Linked DNA regions of Pelodiscus sinensis. The protein of the gene in region 3 purifies or fractionates together with the protein of the main gene of each other region. This does not show direct contact. Links are inferred from orthologs where the notes say so. Each region holds a gene or a part of one and is shown on either strand. Other genes may lie near its edges.

Region 1 (7,939 bases), on a different chromosome or scaffold from region 3:
TCTCACTTAATTCCTTGCAATGCAGGGGATTCTGACATTGGTGCGCCTCACTTTTTCCTATTTCTGCCTGCGGCCTATTACTCTTCTGTGGCTGTAATATTTTGGTCTAGTTTTGATTGTTGCATGTAGTTTTTGCCTGCTAGATGGGTTAGTGACTTATGACATACAGGAGGACAGACTAGATGGATCTGGTAGTCTGTTCTGGCCTTAAACTCTATGACTTTGATCTGCCTACAGGCTGCATCATTCACTTCTCTGCCTCATTGGAAGGGATTGAAATTAATTTCCTTTGAAGGTGCCTGTCAATACGACCTCCATATAACACCACAAAATTCAATTCAGCGGCATGAATAATGTGCTTACTCGCAGTTTACAGGACACAAAGAGACAGTACATACAGTATACTGGACCCCTAGAAGAGAGACACAGAACACCCCTTCAAGTGGCAATTTGTCGATACTATGATACAATACCAGAAAGAAAAACCTTAGTACTCCCAAACCTTGGTCTGTCTTTAATTTTCAGAGCATTAAGCACAAACACTTATCCATTAAGAATGTGCTATTAACTTAAAGACTAGTTCATGTAGCCTTTTACAAGAGGGTATCGTAATCACAATAGGAAAGCATCATTAGCATTCCATCAAATTTTGATGTGCCAGACCCGAGACATCAAAATACAGAGTAGCTTTAAAAACAACAAATTGTCTGGTAGCACTTTATAAAAGTTATACCAGACTATTTGTTGTTTTTTCTGTACAGACTAACTCGGCTACCCCGATAGTAGCTTTAGTTTAAGATTGGACTGTCTTCAAAAGAAACCTATGTGCAAAGATTACATTTTCCTTCTTTACTAGTATTGTTTTAAAATTAATATATGCCAGAGTGCACCTGAACAAACAATTCTTTGGTATCAATTTCACTACACCTGGGTCTCTAAAGAGTCCAGAGAACACCTTTCACAGAACTTAAAGAAGTCACCATTTTAGTTCCTTTGTACAACCACAGCCCCTGAACGAGTGCATTAAATTAGGAGACCCACAATTTTTAGGGACAAATACATATTTCATGAGGCATAAAGTTGAACAGGCTAATTATAACTTCTTGCAAATCTACATTTTGTCATCAGCATTCATGAGGAATACAAACTCTGCTGGTGGAATCGATAAACTTTCATGAAGTCCCAAATGTGATTATAGTTCACATGAGAAAAACCAACAAACAAAAATATGTAATCACTCACTGAAATAAATTGTGTCTGAAAACTGGTAGGTAGCAAACATTGTACCTATAAGGTTGATCCTGAGAAACACAGTGCAGTAAGGGGGGAGGGATAGCTCAGTGGTTTGAGCATTGGCCTGCTAAACCCAGAGTTGTGAGTTCAATCCTTGCAAAGGCCATTTAGGGATTTGGGACAAAAATTCATCAGGGATGGTACTTGGTCCTGCTGTGAAGGCAGGGGACTGGACTCGATGACCTTGCAAGGTCCCTTCCAGTTCTAGGAGACAGGCAATCTCCATTACTAAAGTCTCACTTACCGAAGATCCATTGAAATGATAATTAAAAATGGGATAAGATGACACCTAAACAAACACAGTATGATACAAAAAAGCCAGAATGCTTTTCAAACAAATAAGTGACAATGAGAGAGCCTCTGTCCCTGTATTCAACAACTTACAGGAGATAGAAAAGCCCTGCAGATGGCCAAGAGTGAATTTCCCCTGTGCAGGATCACCACTATTCTAACTGCCACCTCTGGATACGACAGTTTCCCATTCTCATACAAAGAAGGTATGTTTTGAAAAAGAAGAGTAGAGGTATAGCAGGTAAGATGTAATACAGAAGGCATCTAATATTTACAAACCTGGTATTGCTTCATTGACTGTAGAAAGAAATCTCTCAAAGTGGCATAATCTACATGCAATTAATTACAGCAGGTTTTATTGGCAATGGGGCAGAGTGTAGCCGTAACCTTCTCCATCAGTAAAAATTACTCACATTCTCCCTACACCTTCATACATGCGAGTCTCATCCACCAGAGTCATAATCTCCGCATCCGTGAGGTGTGCGTGCTTTTTTGTCCTGTTGAGTTGTTCAATTTGTATATCTGCCAGCTTCACCTTTTGCTGCGTGTCGATAACTTTGGCCTGCAGTTCAGTAAAAGCCTAATGGGGGGGGGGGGAGAGAGGGCCCGTTACGGCTTGGGAAAGGATGCTCTCGAGCACTATGGCCATAGCACGTTGGGCTGCTGTTTCCGTTTGGAGCAGCAGGGGCTTGCAAGGGAAGGGCCCCCAGAGATATGGGCCAAGGCCAGGGCCAGGGCCAGGGCCCCCCCCAGCGACACGGGCCAGGGCCAGGGCCCCCCCCCGCGACACGGGCCAGGGCCAGGCCCCCCCTCCCGCGACACGGGCCAGGGCCAGGGCCAGGCCCCCCCTCCCGCGACACGGGCCAGGGCCAGGGCCAGGGCCCCCCCCAGCGACACGGGCCAGGGCCAGGGCCCCCCCCCCAGCGACACGGGCCAGGGCCAGGGCCCCCCCCCCAGCGACACGGGCCAGGGCCAGGGCCCCCCCCAGCGACACGGGCCAGGGCCAGGGCCCCCCCCAGCGACACGGGCCAGGGCCAGGGCCCCCCCCCCAGCGACACGGGCCAGGGCCAGGGCCCCCCCCCAGCGACACGGGCCAGGGCCAGGGCCCCCCCCCAGCGACACGGGCCAGGGCCAGGGTCCCCCCCCAGCGACACGGGCCAGGCCCCCCCTCCCGCGACACGGGCCAGGGCCAGGGCCCCCCCCAGCGACACGGGCCAGGGCCAGGGTCCCCCCCCAGCGACACGGGCCAGGCCCCCCCTCCCGCGACACGGGCCAGGGCCAGGGCCCCCCCCCGCGACACGGGCCAGGCCCCCCCAGCGACACGGGCCAGGGCCCCCCCGAGAGACTCGGGCCGGGCCGCGGGCGGGGGGAGGGGCAGGGCCCCGCTGTTTGCCCGGGCCAGGCTCGGGACACCCAGCAAGGGCGGCCCCGGGGCCTCCGGCTGCAGCCCCCGAGCGCCGCCCCCAGCGCCCCAGGCGGGCCCGGCCGGTACCTTCTTCAGCTCCAGGTCCACGGGCGCCGCCATGTTGCCGCACTCTGCGCACGCGCATTCAACGGAGCGGGAATTGCTCCAGTGCGCGTGCGCAGCAACAAGAGCGGCTGGCTCAGCACCCAGCAGCACGTGCTGTGACCAGCAACCCGGGAGCGGAAGGGGGAGGGGGAGGGGCAGCCTTGCACCACCCCAGGGGCAGCCTTGCACACAGAAGCTTTGCATCCCCCCAAGGGGCGGCCTTGCACACAACCATGTAGACTCCAAGGCAATCCAGGAGGGTTGTCAACCCTACCAGCAAGACAACCCCCCCCCCCCCCCCATTGCACTGCAGCAGGGATACCACCCAGATCCACTTCAGGCCATTGGAGCTAACGGAGAATCACCATTAGAATCTGCAATATGGGGCTTTTGACACACAGTGGAGCAGCTCTAACTCCATCCCATAGAAAGTGGTGCCAGTACATACCAGCCCAGGCCACTGCAGAATTGTAGTGGCTGGAAGTCTGCACTGTTGCAAATCGATCAAGAGGCCACATAAACATAATGGATAGCTCATCACACTATATAGGTGGACATGTAGCCTGTAATTATAGGTTGCCAACCAGGGACCAGAAACAGTATCACGTGACTGTACATGTAGTTATTAATTAGCATTATTACATAACAGGTGTGTTTGGCATTTTATCAGCCAATATGAAGATAAAGTCCTTGCCTGAGGAGCTGGGCATCCCAGGAATTATTCCGGTTCCCGTGAAAGTCAACAGGAGCATGCCATTGACGTCAGTGAGGGTAGGGCCTGGTGTAATTACACTGGAAGATTTCACAAGGAATGACGGGAGGGTGAATCAAAGGGAAAGGAGAAGCTGTTATTGAGAGAGCATTGTCCACCAGGATTCAGATCAGTTCACTAGTGACTGTTGTGGGTTTTAATTCGCATTGGAATTAAAGTTATGGAGCCGTTTTGTTTCCCAGAGTCTGAGCCTCAAGCGAGGAAGCATAAAATCCCACAGCACTTGTAGTGATCAAATGCAATGTGGAAAGTAGGATTTAATTGGAACGGTTTGTAATGTTAGATCAGATTAATTTGTTGATGTGGGTGCAGTGCTTTAAACATGTAGGCTATGTCTAGACTGGCATGATTTTCCGGAAATGCTTTTAACGGAAAAGTTTTCCGTTAAAAGCATTTTCGGAAAAGAGCGTCTAGATTGGCATGGACGCTTTTCCGCAAAACCACTTTTTGCGGAAGAGCGTCCGTGGCCAATCTAGACGCGCTTTTCCGCAAAAAAGCCCCAATCGCCATTTTCGCGATCGGGGCTTTTTTGCGGAAAACAAATCTGAGCTGTCTACACTGGAAAAGTTTTGCGCAAAAGAGACTTTTGCCCAAGCGGGAGCAGCATAGTATTTCCGCAAAAAGCACTAATTTCTTACAGTAGGAAGTCAGTGCTTTTGCGGAAATTCAAGCGGCCAGTGTAGACAGCTGGCAAGTTTTTCCGGAAAAGCGGCTGATTTTCTGGAAAAACTGGCCAGTCTAGACACAGCCGTAAAGCATCATAGGGCTAATCTTGAGAAGTGCTAAGAACCTGTGGCTTCTGTTGGTTTTAATGGAAACATTGGCCAGTGCCTGACCACCCAGGTTCTTATACCCCATGCAAGAGAAGATATAAACGCCCTGTAATCCATTTGTGCAATACTACACCACCAAGCAAAATTCATTCCTGAGCAGGCAGTGATGAGCTTACAGCCTGAAACATGAGGATTGGCAGCTCCTCTAATTTACTGTCATTGCAGACATTCATAGAAAGGGTTGTTCTTTTTACAAAGCCTCTCCCAGCCTTTTTGGAAACGTACCTAACTATATACAGCCGTTTAAGGAGACATTATATTAAAATGCATTTCCCTTTGTCCATTTAAAATGTGTTGCTTTCCAATTTCATTGAAAGGATTTCTGCCCCTCCGTTGCAGGCAGCCTCCAACTGCTTCTTAATTTGAAGAAATAGGGAGGTCTCAATCCTGCATCCTGTGGACAAGTGTCCTCATCACAGAAACCATAGCTACAGTAGGGACAAATAGCCAGTCTTATTGGAACCTCAGCAGAGAGCCAAGGACTGAAAGAGTCATAGGAACGCTACCTAACGGAGCCCTCCCAGGTCAGAGTCCGGGTTCATTGGCATGGCAGGGCTGGCGAGCTGCCTTCGGCTGCCCACTGTTCCAGTCCCGTGCAGGGTTCTCAGCCCAGCACCTTGCACTAGCAGGACAGGTGCATACAAGTGGGATTTTAAAGAACTGAAAAGCCTGCCCCGTACATCAGAGCGAGGAGTCCCAGGAACTGTCCCCTTCAATCCACGAGCTCCAGGGTGGCCCAGTGCTGATCCAAAGCATGTCTCATTCAGCAGGGCTGCTGCAGTGCGTGGGATGAGCACTGGAGCACAAGCGAATGCGTTGTGAAAGGGTTGCTCTCTTCCAGCTTAGGGGGAGTCACATGCTGAGCAGAACCAAACACAGGGATCCTAGAATGACACAACCCTCAGGCTGACTCTCAGTTTGAATTCCCGAAAGGGGGTGTGCAATGCAAAAAGCTCGCAAAATAGGCTCCTGGGCTGAGGACTGGAGCGGCTTTGTGTGACTGTTGTTAGCAACCAAATTCCTTTTTGCTAATGGTGACCAGGTGAGGTCACCTCTAGAAAAATGTGCAGAGCAAGGAAGTGAGTTATTCCTCCTAGCCAGAATGCTGGCGCTGGATTTGCTGTGTTGGTTTAAGCAAACCGCCCTTTCACATGCCGTAGTGGGAGCATTTGGTATTGATTTGGGTGATCTAAAGCCGTGTGGCAGACACGGCGCAGGATGGCATGCGGGTGTGGGCTGTTTGTCTCCGCACCCATTAGTGAGAGTGAGGAGATCCCTATGGCCAGAGGAAAATGGGTAACTAAGGCACAAAGTCAGAACTATCGCTAACGACAGAGGCAGACTGATGATTATTAAGAAGACCTTGCTGTGACATGGGGCCCCTCATCCAGGCAGAGCCTGACTTGCTTTACAAAAGAGCTTTTGGAAACGTAAGACATAAACCAGAAGTGAGCCCCAGGGCTGCTGAGCCGTGCCCCAACCATCCCAGGGAACCCCAGCCTACAGTCACACACAGAAACACATCCAGCTCTCTCCTGGATATATATGTAGTCCAGCCACATTATAACATGTCCCCTTCTGTCCGCATAAGGGAGAATACCACATCCTCCCACCCTGAGAGATACGGTGGCCTATACCACGGCTATGATATTTTCTTTCTGGCCACACAGTGAAGGATAAATCATAACGAGGTTGGGCCATTACTGGGTTAAAACAGCCTAGTTTATATCTGGTTATTTGTGCTGTGTAGACATGGCCTAGTGTAGGGGTAGCCAACCCATTAAAGGCAAAGAGCCACAATAGTTGGGGATATAGCACAAAGAGCCAGGGGGGGGAAGTTGTCGAGCAAAAAAAAAGGGGGGGGGACACTGCGCCTTTAAACAGAACTCTGGGTGGCAGTGAGCACAGAGAAACAGGGGACGGGGGCCATTTTTAGGGGCACAGGGTTAGCCTTGTGAGCCATGGGGGAGGCTTCCTGAGCCACACTTGAAGTGGGGGGAAAGAGCCGCATGCAGCTTGCGAGCCGTGGGTTGGCCAGCCCTGGCCTACTGTATGAATTCCATAGGGCTTCTGTCCACACTACGGTTTGGATGGGACTCTGTCCTCCCCCCTTTCTGCCTTCAGGGCAGCTGAGAGCGATGGCGAGTGCCCTAATGTGGACGTGGCATCATGTGCTTTTAGCACGGCATCAACTACACTTACTGGCTGTGTCTAGATTGGCCAGTTTTTCCAGAAAATCAGCCACTTTTCCGGAAAAACTTGCCAGCTGTCTACACTGGCCACTTGAATTTCCGCAAAAGCACTGACTTCCTGCTGTAAGAAATCAGTGCTTCTTGCGGAAATACTATGCTGCTCCCGTTCAGGCAAAAGTCCCTTTTGCGCGAAACTTTGGTGCAAAAGGGCCAGTGTAGACAGCTCAGATTTGTTTTCCACAAAAAAGCCCCGATTGTGAAAATGGCGATGTGCCAATCTAGATGCTTTGTTCCAAAAATGCTTTTAACAGAAAACTTTTCCGTTAAAAGCATTTCCGGAAAATCACGCCAGTCTAGACGTAGCCACTGTGAGCTAGATGCCAGCAGCTGGTCTCTAGTACCTCTCTCACCCCTGTGCTGGCAGCCAAGGGAGATCTCTGTAACGAGCTCAAGGCAGATGCAGCTTTTCTTTCCCAGAAGGCCTTGTACACCTCAAAGACCCACGCATCTGTAGATGCTGAGATGCGGGCGCTGAAATATCCAACAGGGGCAGGATTTCATACCATGGTCCATGGTTACGGCTGCAGCAGGAAGGGACACCTGGAGCACCCTGTGCACCTCGGTGCATCTCGTGCTGTTGATCCAGATGATGAATGCTCTGGAGCAGGACGCAGGTGACACAAGTGGAGAGATGAGCAAATGTGAAAGAGGCCCCAGGGAGACCTGGGAAAGGTGAGAGAATGAACGAGCGAATAATGCGCATAGTCATGCGTCAAACACTGCAAGCGAGCACACACGCTCCCTGTAAACTGCTGTGAGCTGTAAGCTGTCTACCCGCAGCTGCCAATCCCACCTCTGACCTCCCCAATCTCCGCCCCAGCTTTCTAAGATGCTGACCCCTGTGGCTCGAGTCCCCACCAGCTTCAGCTGCCTGTCCCTCTGCTACAATGCACACAGATCCTGTTGTCTCCGGAAAGGAAAACTTGAGCTGAATAGCAGGAAAAAAATTCTTGGCAGCAAATTCTATAATATTGTGGCATAGTCTCCC
Region 2 (8,260 bases), on a different chromosome or scaffold from region 3:
TTTAAAAGGTGATTCTTCCTCTTAGAAAACATAATCAAATATGACATTTAAAGCACTTGAAAAGTGTATCCAGTATCTACTAGCCTGAAAACTAAGCCTCGGTGAAAAATATATGGGCTTCCAGGATTTAACAGAAGCAAAGATTACTCGTGGGGGAATTCTGTGACTTGACTTTCCTCAGAGTAACTGAGGTAGACACACAACTAACTAGGAATCTACAACAACTTAGCCTGTTATATATTTTGAAGAGTTTGTTTGTGGATTTGTTTGTGCAAAATAAAGTCATACTTCCTGATTACCTACAGACACCAAATTTTGCATAAACAATCCTGCCACTTAAATTAGCTGAATGCACTACTGTTTATACCAGAATATGCTTGGTGAAAGGTTTAAATAATTTTTTTTAATTGGAAAAAAGTCATGACTATTCTGATTAGAGTTAATAAAATATGTGCAAACAAAATTAAAATCAAGTAACCTATTCCACTGTCATTTTAGTGCAAAACATTTTTACTGTTACAAATCACAAAATAATTCAAATTAGTTACAGAAAGAGTAATGGAAGCTTAGCGAGTTCCTGATTCAAATTTACAATGTATGGTAATTATTCAATAAAATGAATAATGTTTGAAATTGAAATCCTACAAATTTAAAACTGTTCTTTTACTTCCCTTTTGCAAGCACATTAATAAAAAATTCTATTCTATTGAATTTCTTGAACTTTCCTATAAGTGTAATCTATGCAAAATGACTCTGCCTGGTCAAGGACGGGTCTCATCTGCTAGTATACTGTAAACAAGCACATTTTCACTAATCCTTTATTTTATTTTGCTAGTATGGCTTATGTGCTCTAATGTGTAGGTGACTTTTACAGACCATCTGTCATACATATTTAGCCCAATAAAATGCTTAAGGACCCTATTAACACATGGATTCTGCATCTTTTCTGTGGGATGAGTATTTACAAATTTTCACTATGGCACGCCGGGCTCCTTGCCCCACCGGGCAGCCCTGCTACGCTCCTGGCCCCTTGCCCACCCCGCTATGCTCCTGGTCCTGCCAGGGACCCCTGCTGTGGTGTGCTAGTCTGGCCCCACCAGGCAGCCCCACTGGGTTGTTGCCTGGCTGCTCAGATGCAGCACACTGGGCAGCCCAGCTGCAGGGAGCCCAGCCACCAGCCCTCCACCAGGACTTGTTGGTCCTACATCCATGGTCCTGCCAGATGATGGATGTTACTGGAACAGGGAATCCCCGATTACACATGTTCAACCTGTACATATGAGAATTCAAAATGTCTGAAAACCAATATACTCTAAAGCTAAGGAGGCTATAAATATAAGAAGTGAAGGAAACCCTGCATAATTAGATCCCACAGAAAAAATATCCAATCTTCATAACCTCTGTTTTGAGGCCTGTGTTACTAAATTGTGTAATTAAAAATGCCAGATCATGGTTAATGTTAACCAAGAGCATAGCAGTGCTACATTTTCATACCCAGCTCAGATTCTGTGACAATGTAAAGATTATACAAATGTATATATCTGCTCACCTGTAACATTTGTCCACCTTCTTTAGTACTCCTATCTACAGTGTATTCACACATAAATCACTTTCTGGTTTAGATGTATAAATTGTTTAATCTGTACATGAAAACTGGAGATCTTAATTTGTAACAAAACCAGTAAAATCAGAGACCCATATGCTCCTATTAAAACCAGCCAGAGCAGGATTGGAACTTCATATTTTAAAAGCTTCTAATAAAGCTGAACTAATCTTATTTAGTTTAGACAGTCTGAGCTTTTTCTGACATTTAAGAGGTTAAACTACTTTAAAAAAAATCGATACCAATATGTTTTGTAGATCATAGACTCAAATTATTTTTAATTTTAGCCCTAACTTAATGCCATTCCGATCATCACATCTAAATTACTTTCTTCAGTAAAAATTAACCTCCTTTTACTGAACAGACAACCTTTACAACAGGCCAATTTTCACTGAGTTTAATGCCACAGCATTAATCTGGATCCCACATTCACAAGTCAATGATTTATTGTATCAAACTTGCCTTTTTTGCATGTCTTGCAAAGACATGTGTTAGTCGCTTTATTCAATATAGATGCTAGTGTAGAGAGCGCTGCTCTCTATTAGGGATGTAAAATCCTGTGTAATTAGTTAAATAGTTAAACATTAAAAACTGTCATTTATTCCTTTCCTCCTTCAGCCTATTGTTCACTAAACTATATACATTCCTGCTAGTCTCAAGGCCCAACAACGACCCTTCCCCCTCCTCAAGGCAAGCCACTGCAATCAAGAGCGGCTACCAACAATCAGGCACACACAATCAGACGTGATTTCCTCAGAGCCTAAAAATGCCAGCGCTCTTCCCTCTTAACGCAAATCAAGCAAAAGATAAAGGTGCTGTCAGCTCCAAAAGAAGTTTGTTGTGCACACGTTAGTGAAAAGTAACAGTAACCAGCACCAAAAGGCTAATTAAATATGCACTATCCCACCCAGATACTTTACTCAAAGATCAGTATAATTACTGAGAGCTGACCGGGGGGGTACAAGAATGTCTTGCTCGTGGGTTGTACGAACAGGGAACCCCCAATTCGAGGGGGCGGCTTTCCACGCCGGACTAGACAGCCTGCGTGGTTTGCATTGCTTGTTTTTTTGAGCAACAGCTTCTCAAGGACATGGGAACAATGTGTGCACCAAACACATCCTGCCTCTGCCTAGGCCAAGCAGCAGTTTCGGAGCGAGGCGCGTTAGGGTCTGCACGTTGGACTCGCCGCCGCCGCCGGTAACAATGCACCGAAGGCTACTGCTGCTGCGACAAACGCATCGGGCTGCCCTTGCCACGCTGCCCCCCGCCAGGAAAATACCCCGGTCTCCCCGGCACGCCGAGAAAGCCCTGCAGGGCCAGGCCAAGCTGCGGGACCCACCAGCTCTGCAAGATGCGCCTGCCCAGCCAGCCACCTTCTCGCTCTCCCGGCGCAGGTTGGGAAGGGAGGCTGCGGGCCGGGCAGTGGGCACTTACCTTTGGGGCTGCTCTCTGGCAAATAGGGCGGCGCGGTAGGGGTGACATTGCCGGAGCTGGGCGCGGACAGCAGAGGGGAGCGCTCGTCCACCCCGTCAGCAGCCATGACTATGCGGCAGCAGGGCCGGCTGAACCCGGGGAAGAGCCTTTCCTCGCGCGCCCGGCGTGTGAGCGTGTCACAAGGCACTGGAGCGAGGGGGAGGAGGGGAGCGCGGCCAGCAGCGCGAGAAGCGGGGGGAGGGACTGGGACCTGGAAAGTGGGGGGGGGAGCACAAACTGGCCCTCCCTATGTCACAAGCAATAGGGCGGGGATGGGGAAGGACAGAGCTTCCTCTCTCTGCAGCCCCTGCCGGAGTTGGGGGGGGGGGGATAACTCGTGTTGCAGCTGTTTTTGTTTTCCGGGGCAGTTAATGCGGAGAGGTTCGTGTCCAGGCTTTCCTCACGCAAGGAAATGGGATATGAGCAGGAGAGAGAGCACCACCTGTAGTTGCCTGGGGCACAAATGCAGTAGGGAGGGAAGCCCTGGCACGGTGGGGGTATGTACACCCCCATCCACCCTTGCTTACTACATCTGTCCTCTCAGTATAGTGTCAAGAGTCACTGTCTCTTGCATTGGTCCAGTAAAATATAGCACTTTACCCACATTGTTCCTGCAATATTATAAGTCAGATTTTCATTCCAGAATTGTTTGTGGGCACCATTAGCAGGGAGAGATAAAGAGAGGGGATCATTTTGCTTTTTCATCTGCAAGCTATTAATAAAAGGAGGAAATATAACATTTTCTCTCTTTACTTTCTGCTTTTTTTGCTAGTGGTTTGACCTGGTGTGCCTCCCTCTAGCTCAGACACTCTCAAAGTTTTTATATGATACTTTTCATTGGGGTATCTGTACAAAATTACAGACCAGGAAGACCATGGAAAAATCACTTTATTAAAAATAAAATAGATTAAGACATGTCAGATGTGGTAAACAACAAAAAGCAACGGGTGTTTACCCAAGTTGTAGATGGCCTTACTGTTGCAATTTTTTCAATTGCCTCTTTCAAAACCCTGAGGAGGAGGCAGATGTTTCTCCCCTGCAATTGTAAATACTGCTGTGTTTATAAAGATGACAAATCAGTGACTTTTATTGCCGCTTTATTTATGCATAAGGAAATTCATGCACTTTTTGTCATTTGAGTCTACTGCTCATGTGAGGAGGGTTCTCCTAGTGTCAGTGAACTCTCTGAGGACACAAGGCACCACTTAAAACTCTCTTTGCCTGAAATTCCATTAAGGCACCAGCTGGAAATCCCAGCAGAAGAACTTTCCCTATTGTATTTTCACCCTAAATTGCAAAGAGACATATGCTTGTCACACTGTAATCTAGATACATTACCTATAAATTAGAGATTCCCATGCCCTCCTAATGTATGGCATGCAAGTGATAACATAAGTTATCTAGTTATTCTGGATAATGACATGCTGCAGAGCATTAGGCCAATTGCCAAGTGTCATCAACCATCCCAGAAGTGTGGTTATCTAGGACAACTGCACTTCCTGAAATTGTGTTATTGGGAGAACGTTCCTACATTTATGTAAGAACAGGATAATAAGTCCTGATCCTGAACTGTGAAGTTGGATGCAAATACTATGATTTCATTAGTCAGACTCCTTCCCTCTTACTTTTATTTTATAAGATATATTACTTAGAGCTGGGCAAAAACAACAACAACAAACCACAAACCAAACCCGACAGCAAAAAAACAAGCTGAAAGTTTTCCACTAGAAAATGCTGACTCAAGGAAATAGAAACATTTCACAGGATTTTGTCAAAATTGTAGATGGGGAAGTTATCCAAACATTTTCAGTTAGCTAAGGGTGAAATATTTAGTTTCAATAAGGATGACGTGTTTTGAATCGATCATTTTGATTTGTTAATATGATATGATAGCCAACTCTAAAATGTAATTAAACAATCCAGATATAACAAGATATTTCAACCTTATTATTTCAATAAGATCATTTTGACATTTCCGAAATTAATACTTCAGGATGGAAATTTCAACTAATCATTTTGATTCAGGGTGAAAAATAATTTTGAAATACTGACATTTCCTGCAGAATAGAAATTCTAACTTTTGACCATCTGTAAAGGTGCCTTGTGAGGAATAATACATGATAGGGCACCTGGTTGTTTATTGCATATTGGCCAGGAACCAGTCTGAAGGCCAAGTACTTCCCTCATCCAGCAAGTGCTGTCTTGTCATCTCAAGCCCCTGTGCTCTCTGGAAATGCTATAACTGACTTCGCAGGAGGGAAACTTTAAAGCTAAATAATTCTTGCCAGGACTGTTAAAACTCAAAGGCCCAGATCCTGAAAGGCATTTAGATGCCTAATTCCCATTGGTTGGATGCCTAAATACCTTTGAGGATCTGTGCTAATGTGCTGCTTAACCACAACTCTGGTTGGGGTTGTAAGATGTAATAGGTTTTTAGTATTTGTAGTTGAAATGTACCTCCAGCGCAGTTTCCTACCATGGCCTTGTTGGCAAGTACAGAGTTTTTCAACAAATATGCAGGTATATTCTCTGTTGGATTTTTAGTAAAGGACCCAACATTTCCAGCCACACCCCTATTTTTGCTGTACTGTGAAAGATACAATAGCTAGTAGAAAGATGAATAAAAAGAGAAAAAGATAGGCATGATTAAGTTCACCAGTACCCACTGCTCTGCAGTGACAAGAAATTGATTGTGTGAGACCCATCTACTGCATTGTCCCATGCCTCAGAGGAAGACTTACAAACATGAATATCACTGCCAGTTGCCCAAAGGGAAAAGCTATACCACAATTCAGATGTTAATCTGTTGAACCCTGAGCATATGACCAAGAATTATTGTAGTTAAGCATCTCATTAAACTGACCCATACCTGAGAATGATCGGTGTCTAAATAATTATTAGTTAAGTAAATATAAAAGTAACACACAATCACAGCTCCTTTCAATCATAAAGGATTTGCTATGCAAGAACATCCAGAAAAAAAAATGCAGATTAACTGAGAGATGTAAATTTGACATGGTGTAGTTAATCCACATTAAATTTTTGTGTGGACTCTGTAATTCGGAATTAAAATAGCCTTAATTTGGTTTAGGTGACCCCTGATCTATACTACAGAATTAAGTTGAGAAGCATAGAGCTTAAGTCAATGTAGTTAGGTCGACACAGTTCAAGTGCAGACAATGCATTGCATACATTAAATATTACTGCCTTTCAAAGTCTGTCCCATAATGATCCACACTGAGTCTACACTACCATGGGCTGTCGAATTAATTTACGCAACTTCAGCTACATGAATATTGTAGCTGAAGTTGATGTATTTAGACCCACTATGGAATCATCACCATAGTAAATCAACAGCTGACAATCTCTTGTCAACTCCAGCTATGCTTCTCATTCTGATGGAGTACCAGAGTCAACATGATAGCACTCAGCGGTCCATTAGACACGATAAATTGACCCCCCCCCCTCCAATGGATCAATTGCTGCCCATCAATCCAGGAGGTAGTGAAGACGTGCTCCTAGTAAGGATGAACACCACCAACACAGGTGTGGACATATAAAAGCAGTTTAATTACTACATTAGCTGAAAATCAATGTAACATAGATTGACTTAATTTTGTAGTGTAGACTTGTCCTTCATACACTCCGGAAATGAATTAAACTACAGTCAAAATTAAGACTACTTTAATTTTGAATGAGGGTGACAATTACTAGAATTTCTGTACTCTTAAACAACAAATTGGAGTACTAAGCTAATAATTCCCAGCAAATAATTTGTTTGTTGAATTTTTCCTATTTTTCATTATTTTAAATTAATTTTATGGAAGTAACCACAGGTTTACCACAAGTCCATGCGGATTTACACATTTAGATCTCATTCAGGCAATGGGATCTACTGCAATGCACCCCTATGCCCTTATGGTGTTTTCATTGACTCAGGTAATACATAGTTCCAAATGGTGTCCAGCAAGTTGATCCTATACATTATGAAGTATTGAGAGATTATACAGAAACTACATTCTTTTGAATTAACTAAGTTGCAAGGTCAAGCCTCTCAAGAGATAGAGAGTGCCGTATTTAAGGTTCCTACAAATAGATAATTCAGCTCCCTTATGCACATATATTACAGAACACCCTTTAATTATATTACTGTGCTGGGTTTAGTCACAAAGATCCCATTGAGACTGTCACCTTATGCGCTGATTATACCACTAAGTCTGCCTACCTGCCCTCTGGAGCATCCCATCACTCCAACCTGCTGGGCCAGAAATTCTGGTTTCCCCCAGAGTCGGTAATGAGTTGAGATCACAACCCAGAGCAGAGCGACACAGACACTGAAATCACCTCAGCTCTGGGAAGGGTCAAGCAAAGGGACTTGACACAGCAGCCAGGTGCACAGCCTGCGTTGGACCAAAACCCCAGATAAATCCATCTCATCCATTAACTGGTTAACTTTACACATCTCTATGCGTCATATTTCTAACTTCAAATACAGGAATGATACATGCACACAAATAGAATATGCACATTCTGCAGATTATAATGTTAAAATATTTTACATTAATTATTTTACCTAAAGAATATTTGAGTTAGGCATATTCATATTCAAAAGCATCTTTCCATATAGATTATGGGGGTGCGACATAACAATGATCAAATGCTATTTTTTCCACAAGACCCTTACCTCATTCAGTGCACAGGAAGACCTACCCTAGCATCTGAGCTCACAAGTGAGCCCAAGAAAGCAAGAAACAACTTGATGAGGCTACTAGTGAAGGCTGAAACTCCTCCCTGTAAAACTACCAGCTCTGGAAGCTGAGGAAATAGAATGTGGGTCCAGTGGATTCTTAGCATTTGCTATTCCTGAGGTTTCTCTTTTATATATATTGGGTACTGTTTAGGGTTGCCAGGTGTCCGGTATTCTACCAGACAGTCCAGTTTTTGCACCCTCTGTCAGGTAAAAAAAACTGTGCAATGTCCGGTATTTTCTGTTTTTCTGGCTGGGTGCCAGACAGAAACCTGGCGGGGGCAGGAGGAGTGGCTGGGAGGCGGGCCCACAAGCGGCGCTGGGAGCCTGTGGTAGCATGCAAAAGCCTGGCAGGGGCGGGGGGAGTGGCTGGGAATCCCAGCCACTGCCCTCGCCCGCCTTCTGCACACAACCACAGGCTCCCAGCACCGATTGCA
Region 3 (7,233 bases):
TCAGAGGCTGGAGAGGGATGGCAGGAGACAAATCGCTTGATCATTGTCTTCGATCCACCCCCTCTGGGGCACCTGGTGCTGGCCACTGTCGGCAGACAGGATACTGGGCTAGATGGACCTTTGGTCTGACCCAGCCTGGCTGTTCTTCTGTTCTAATAACAAACTAGCACGCCAGGCTCCGTAGCCAGAAAGAGCCCAAATCCAGCTCCCGCCAACAAGCAACCCTACAATAACAATAACTCTCGAATACCACATTTTACAAACCTCTCCCCTCTGATCCCACCTTGGAATACCAAAAGAAACTACACTGTCTCCTTACAAGCCTCCCCACAGCTACTCGGGAACAAATCCACACAGAAACACCTGACCCCCGACCAGGATTGTTCTATCTGCTTCCCAAGATCCATAAACCTGGGCACCCCGGACGTCCCATCTGTGACGTAGTGGGGGTGCTTGCTGGGCTGTGGTGACCTCTGCTGTCTGGAGCAAGACCCAGCAAGGAAAACCTCACTATGCAAAGGTAATGCCAAACTTGTTGAACCAGACACCCCCCATGGAGAGGAACAAAGGAAGGTGGATGCTGCCCTGGCTGGGGGGCAGGGCTGGAAGAGGGTGAGGTTAGTTGCTGTCTGTGAGCATGGAGGAGACAGCCTAGGAAAAGGGGCTGGAGTTTAGGGGCCCAGTCTCCCCCATCTCAAGGGGGCCTGAGGCATCCTAGCCCAGCTCTGTGACCAGATTCCATCTGTGCTGTGCTGTATCCTGGAGAGGCAATAAACTTCCTCTATTCCACCGGATGCGGTTGTATCGAAGGGCTTGGCTATAGACGATGGATCGTGTGGTGTGTTCTGGATGGGAGCTGGAAGCATGTAGGTAACTGTATGAGTCGGTGGGTTTTCTGTAGAGAGTGGTGTCTAATTTTCCATTGTTGATTTGTACGGTGGTGTCCAGGAAGTGGATCTCTCGTGTAGAATGGTCCAGGCTGAGGTTGATGGTGGGGTGTAGGTTGTTGAAATCTCTGTGGAATATCTCCAGTGTTTCTTGGCCATGCGTCCAGATCATAAAGATGTCATCGATGTACCGTAGGTAGAGGAGGGGTGAAAGGGGACGGGAGTTGAGGAAACGTTGTTCTAGGTCAGCCATAAAGATGTTAGCATACTGTGGGGCCATGCGTGTACCCATGGCTGTGCCGCTGATCTGGAGGTATAAGTTGTTCTCAAACTGGAAATAATTGTGGGTGAGAACAAAGTTACACAGGTCTGCTATCAGGTTGGCAGTGGTGTCCTCTGGGATAGTGTTTCTAATTGCTTGTAATCCGTCTTCATGTGGGATGTTGGTATATAGAGCTTCTACATCCATGGTGACACTACTGACTTCCTAAGGAAACTACAAAACATCGATAACCTCCCCAATAATACCATCCTTGCCACCATGGATGTAGAAGCTCTATATACCAACATCCCACTGACAGAGACAACCGCATCTGCTCTAATCCCACTGACAGAGACCAGAAGCTTCAGGATCTCTACCAAGCATTTATAAACCTCAACTACCCACCCGGAGAAATAAAAAAGCAAATTGAAAGAGCCAGACAAATACCTAGAAACCATCTACTTCAAGACAGACCCAAGAAAACCAACAATAGAACACCACTTGTCATCACCTACAGCTCCCAACTTAAACCTGTCCAACACATTATCAATAAACTACAGCCTGTATTGGAACAGGATACCATACTCAAAGAGGCTCTGGGAGACAGACCCATAGTCTCCTATAGACAACCACCTAACCTCAAGATGATTCTTACCAACCACCACAGGACATACCACACTAATACCAAGCCTGGTACCTTCCCTTGCAACAAACCCCGTTGCCAGCTTTGTCCACATATTCATTCTGCCGATACCATTATTGGACCCAACCAAGTGAGTTATAAGATCAAGAACACATATTCCTGCGCATCCAGAAATATAATCTATGCTATCATGTGCCGAAAGTGTCCGTCTGCTATGTACATTGGATAAACATCTCAGACACTTCGCCAAAGGATTAATGCCCACAAAACAGATATCAGACAAGATCACAAAGAGAAAACAGTTTCTTGCCACTTTAACCAGAAAGGACACTCTCTAAATGACTTGAAGCAAAATGCAGGACAATGTAGCACTTTAAAGACTAACAAGATGGTTTATTAGATGATGAGCTTTCGTGGGCCAGACCCACTTCCTCAGATCAAATAGTGGAAGACTGAGGAAGTGGGTCTGGCCCACGAAAGCTCATCATCTAATAAACCATCTTGTTAGTCTGTAAAGTGCTACATTGTCCTGCATTTTGCTTCAGCTCCCCCAGACTAACCCGGCTCCATTTCTATCACTATTCTACAATAACAAAGCAGCCTGGCAGCCCGCTCCTGCTGGCCACCCTGCGATCCCAAACCAGCCTGCCCCCTCCCCCCCAGCTCAGGCCCCCGCGCAGCGCGCCGCGGCCGGACAACCCTACAATAACACGGCGCCCGGCGCGCCCCGGCAGGGCGCAGGCGGGGTCAGGTTCCTGCCGGCTGCGCTTTCGTCCCAGGGCGGCGGAACGGAGCCGAGACGGGCTGGCAGCCGGCCCCGCAGAGCGGGCGGGGGGCGCAGTTTGGGACAGGGAGCGGCCCGTGCTCGCCCCGCGGCGGCGGCAGGGCCCCAGGCAGCCCCCTGCCGAGCTCTGCACCGGCCCCCCGGCTCGCTCCCTACCTGCGGCCCCGCCGGGGCTGGGCGCTGCTCCATGCCGCCCCGCGCCGCGCCGCGCTGCTATTCTGGGCCTGCCTCGGCCCGGCCCCGCGACTGGTGCCAGGCTGGCGCCCGCACAGCTGGGACGGGAGCAGCCTGCCCGGCGCTCGGCGGAGACTCTCTGGAGCCGGCCGGGCGCGGGCACCTGTCGGGGCGGCCCCGCTCCGGAGCTGACGGGCACGGGGAGCCGCCTGAAATAGAGACCGGCCCCTGGCCCAGGCGCGGGAGCGGCCGCCGGGAACGGGGCGGGCTGGGGACGCACGGGGCTGGCGCTGGGCCCGCGGGCGGACGGACGGGGCCAAGGGCCGGGAAGGGGCGCGCCTCCAGCACAGCTGGTCCCGCACCGGGACTGCGGCTGCCGCTTCCCCCGCACGCTCGCTCTTCGCGCCCCGGCTTTCCCCGGCCTGGCACGGGCTGGGGGAGCGCGAAGGGGTCTCGCCCCAAGGGCGGTGGGTCCAGTGGCAGATACACCCTGTCCCGCTCCTCTGTGGGGCCCAATGGGTCAGGCAGCGCACGTGGGTCTGGGGATAGATGGAGGCGGGGGGGTGTGTGCTGGGCTGTGGTTGTGGGGAGGGGAGTAGTTATAGGGTCGCAGGGGGGTGCTGGGTTGTTATGGTGGGGGGGGCCACGTGAGCTGAGTTGTTATTGTACGGTCGCAGGGGGTGCTGGGTTGTTATTGTAGGGTCGCGGGGGGGGGTGCTGGGTTATTGTTGAGGCCATATGAGCTGGGTTGTTATTGTAGGGTCGCGGGGGGTGCCGGGTTGTTATTGTAGGGTCGCAGGGGGTGCAGGGTTGTTGTGGGGGCCATATGAGCTGGGTTGTTATTGTAGGGTCGCAGGGGGTGCCGGGTTGTTATTGTGGGGGGCCGTGAGCTGGGTTGTTATCGTAGTGTTGCTCGGGAGAGACCAGCTTCCCGGGGTGGGGGGGAAGGTCAGGCCGGACCCGCAGGGCCGCTGCCCTGGCGCCCGGTGCCACGCTCCCGCCGTGCCGCACGCCTGGCTCCCAGCGGCCGCCCACTGAGCATGGCTGCCTGGCCCCGGCCGGCCCCGCTCCCCTCACGCACTGCCGCTGGGGATGCCGCAGGCGTGACTCACGCTCCTAACAGGGAACCCAGCCTCCCCCCGCACAGCCCGACACCTGCTAGGGCGCCCCGCACGGGCCGGCTGCAGGGAGCGCTGGGCCCGGCGCGATTACCCCCTCCCGGACCGGCACATCCCTGGCCAGAGCGCCCGGCCCGGCTCCCAGCACGGCCCCCGTCGCCCCAGGGCTCGAGCCTGGGCGGATCGAGATCTTCCAGCTCCGCCCGGCCGCCCTGCTGCTCAGCGCAGCGGGGCGCCCGGCCCGGCCCCGGGAGGGGAGAGGGGAAGCGCAGGGCTGCGGGCAGGGCTCTGTTTCTACCTTTGTGCGGAACCGCTGCTCTGTGCGCTCTGCGCTCAGCGGGGCGGCGCCTGGGGCTCTCCAAGCGCCCGGCTCGCAGGGGACAGGGGTGCGGGTGCAACCGGGGGAGGGGCCCGGGGCCCGCGTTCCCCAGCTCGTGTGCCCGAGAGACGCGCCCGCCTCGCTCCTGCAGGGAACCTTCCCTCCCGGTTTCGGCTCTTCGCCTCCCCCCGGGCTCGCTTGGCGAGGCGCGCCGGCTATTTTTGGAAGGCTCCAAACACCCTGAACGTGGCGGGCCGGAGGCCGCCGTGTCTGCGCCTGGGCTGGCGGGGAGGCCCGGCCCCAAGGCTGCAAACCGGGCGAGTGTCCCGGGGCAGGGACCGCAGGGCGCGGCCGCTCCCGGCTACACGCGCCTCTACCCCAGCGACGCGCCCTAGCTGCTGCCCGCGTGCAGGGAGCAGCTGGTGGGGGGCGGGGCACCTCCTTCTAGCGTCAGGAGGCAGTGAGGGCTAGTGGGTAGGGCCCAGGCCACCTGGCTCCTGTTCCAGATGGGGGGGGGGGGGGGAGAGGAGATCGGGCTAAACCCCTTTGGCTGCTGGGCCCAAGGGCGGATTGGGGTTTGGCGGGGCCCCGGCCGGGAAAGGGGAGCAGAGGGGAACACAGGGGATGGGACTGCCAAGGGAGCTGCACCCACATATTACACCCCCCCCCCCCACAGGTTCACCCCGCTCTGCAGCAGCAGGGCACATGGAGCCTTGGTGCAACCGCAGCTCTACATTTGCAGCAAGCCTGGCCCAGGAGCCCCGCTCCGCTGGCAGGGGAGGGCTCCCATGGGGGGCGGGCAGGGCTCTAAGGCAGCAGAGGCCAGGTCGGGGCTGCATTGCTAGGGGTGCGGTGCCACCTGCACCCAGCCGGGATGCTGATGTAACTGCCCGGGGGGGATTTGAACCTGGGACCTCTAGCCCCTTAGGCTGTGTCTACACTGGCCCCTTGAATTGCCACAAAAGCACTGGCCATCTCCTGTAAAATCGGCAGGGCTTTTCCGGAAAAACTCTGCTGCTCCCTGTCGGGCAAAAGTCCTTTTCCGGAAAACTGGTCCAGAAAAGGGCCAGTGTAGACAGCACAGGACTGTTTTCCGCAAAAAAGCCCCGATGGCGAAAATGACGATTGGGGATTTTTTGCGGAAAAGCGCGGCTCCATGGGCACGGACGCTCTTCCGGGAAAGTGCTTCCAGAAAGGCATCCTGCCAACGTAGACGCGCTTTTTCCGGAAATACTTCTAATGGAAAACTTCCGTTTTAAGCATTTCCGGAGAAGGGGGCCAGTGCAGACGTAGCCGCAGTGTAGGAGGCTCTAGAGCTGGCGCCAGAAGGCTGCGGGCGCCCTCATTCTCCCATGGCAGTGACCCAGACGCGGTGCGGGGGCCTCACTGGGCTCCTGGGCCCTGCCCACGGCTCCCCGCACAAACAGGGCCCGGAGCCAAGCGGGAAAAGCGCTGCCTGGGGGCACAGGGGATTTCCAGCAGCTTTGGGACCTGCCAGAGGGCACTACCCAGGGGCTGCTCCGCTGGCAGCACCGTGCCCCCCCCTGCTGGGATGGGAGAGTTCAACATGGCAATGCCTGGGGGGCAAAGGACCCCCCCGGCTTTCACCCAGCAGCCAGCCTGGGGCTCCCGCAGGCAGGCCGGGGGCTAAGGGGAGCTCCAAGGCCAGTATGGACAGCGCGTGGAGCAGGGGGGAGCTAAGGGGGCCAGGCTGGTGCCAAAGGGCCCACCCGCGGCCCCCGGCTGCTGCCAAGGGGACTCACTGCCACAGCTGCAGAGAACTCCACTGGCCCCAGGCTGGGCGGGCGGATCCCGCTGCCGTTGGAACAAAGAGTTTTTCCAGATTTCAGATTCAGGTCCCTCACTTGCAGGGGGCGTAGGAGGAGCCCCCGCAGGTCAGAGCAGGGGGCCAGCTCACCCAGAGCCCTGGCTCCATCAGCAGCCAAGGGCAGGTGCCTGGGAGGGAACGAGATTAACCCCTCCTACCCTGTGGCCCCAGCTTCTGGCCCCCCCAGAGTCCAGCCCTTGCAGGACCTCCAGCCTTCACACTGCCCTCAGCAGGGAGTTCCACCAGTGAACACTGCTGGCTGCAGCAGGGGCTGTACACGCCCTGTGCCAGGCCCCACCTGCTGAGATCCCAGGGGCCTGCAGAGCAACAAGAGCAGTGGCCCTCTCCTGCCAGGCAGGGTAAGCCGAGTGGCACGGTGTGGGTGGTGAGCACCAGGAAGGGGTTGCCCCTCCCCTCCCCTGGGCAGAGTCGAGGGGAACACACAGGCCAGGCAGTTTCATTAGTAGGCCTGGGCAGGGAGAGGGGGCCCTTGTGCTGGAGAGTGAGGGGGGCAGGGCCAGCTGGGGGTGGTGCCCACCGCACGTAGGGCCAATGGGCTGGGGTGGGCGCTAGGGGCCAGCGACACGGCTCGAGTACACAGCGCTTAAGGCGTCCCCAGCCGAGCCCGCCCGGGGGCCTGGGCTCACAGCACAGCAGAGGCTGCCTCCTCCCTCCACCTGCTCCCTGCTGGCACCCAACAGCTGTCAGGCCTGGGGCGCACAGCTCTGCAGGGGCCACCCGGTATCTGTACCACGTCCAGGCAGCCGCTGGGACAGATGCTGCCCTTGGGGAGCTGGGATAGGCCAAGCTCGGGGGAGCAAAGGGTTAAGTCCTTTCCGCCATGGGGTCACAGCCACCAAGGGCTGCACCTCCCCTCCCAGCCCCACAGCCCAGCCAAGGCTGCACCGGAAAGCACAGAGGGGCCTGTCCTGCTGTCAGGTAAATGCAGACACCCAGCCCTGGGCCGGCTCCCTGCACAGAGCTGCCCCCGCCCTGCCTCATCGCGGGAACAGGGCTGCTCGGGCCCAGCTCCAGCAGGCGCCTCCTGGCAGGGAGTGCGGGAAGACGGGGAGCAAAGGGGCGTGGGGCAGGCTCCCCCCGTGCGCCCCTCGGCTGAGCCGGGGAAAGGAGCAGGAGCCGCTGCCCCGGGCCGAGCGCAGGAGCCACACAGCGCAGCGAGAGCAGCAGAGGGTGTGAAACTTTAATCCAGCTCCTTGG

Evidence for each region.
Region 1: the proteins of PRKAG3 (region 3) and PFDN1 purify together in Homo sapiens (affinity purification with mass spectrometry; 3 studies listed by BioGRID and IntAct, counting the BioPlex papers as one, with this or other methods). This does not show direct contact. The link is inferred for Pelodiscus sinensis from reciprocal best matches to the Homo sapiens genes PRKAG3 and PFDN1.
Region 2: the proteins of PRKAG3 (region 3) and PIP4P2 purify together in Homo sapiens (affinity purification with mass spectrometry; 3 studies listed by BioGRID and IntAct, with this or other methods). This does not show direct contact. The link is inferred for Pelodiscus sinensis from reciprocal best matches to the Homo sapiens genes PRKAG3 and PIP4P2.

The regions. Positions count from the first base shown.
Region 1 is NC_134727.1:2,154,062-2,162,000, reverse strand, and holds the start of PFDN1 (prefoldin subunit 1), read right to left. Parts: upstream 3,203-7,939; 5' UTR 3,110-3,202; coding exon 3,077-3,109; intron 2,165-3,076; coding exon 1,998-2,164; intron 1-1,997. UniProt on the Homo sapiens protein: Binds specifically to cytosolic chaperonin (c-CPN) and transfers target proteins to it. Binds to nascent polypeptide chain and promotes folding in an environment in which there are many competing pathways for nonnative proteins.
Region 2 is NC_134712.1:42,802,332-42,810,591, reverse strand, and holds the start of PIP4P2 (type 2 phosphatidylinositol 4,5-bisphosphate 4-phosphatase), read right to left. Parts: upstream 3,287-8,260; 5' UTR 3,144-3,286; coding exon 3,038-3,143; intron 1-3,037. UniProt on the Homo sapiens protein: Catalyzes the hydrolysis of phosphatidylinositol-4,5-bisphosphate (PtdIns-4,5-P2) to phosphatidylinositol-4-phosphate (PtdIns-4-P).
Region 3 is NC_134717.1:773,544-780,776, forward strand, and holds the start of PRKAG3 (5'-AMP-activated protein kinase subunit gamma-3), read right to left. Parts: upstream 3,370-7,233; 5' UTR 2,766-3,369; coding exon 2,733-2,765; intron 1-2,732. UniProt on the Homo sapiens protein: AMP/ATP-binding subunit of AMP-activated protein kinase (AMPK), an energy sensor protein kinase that plays a key role in regulating cellular energy metabolism.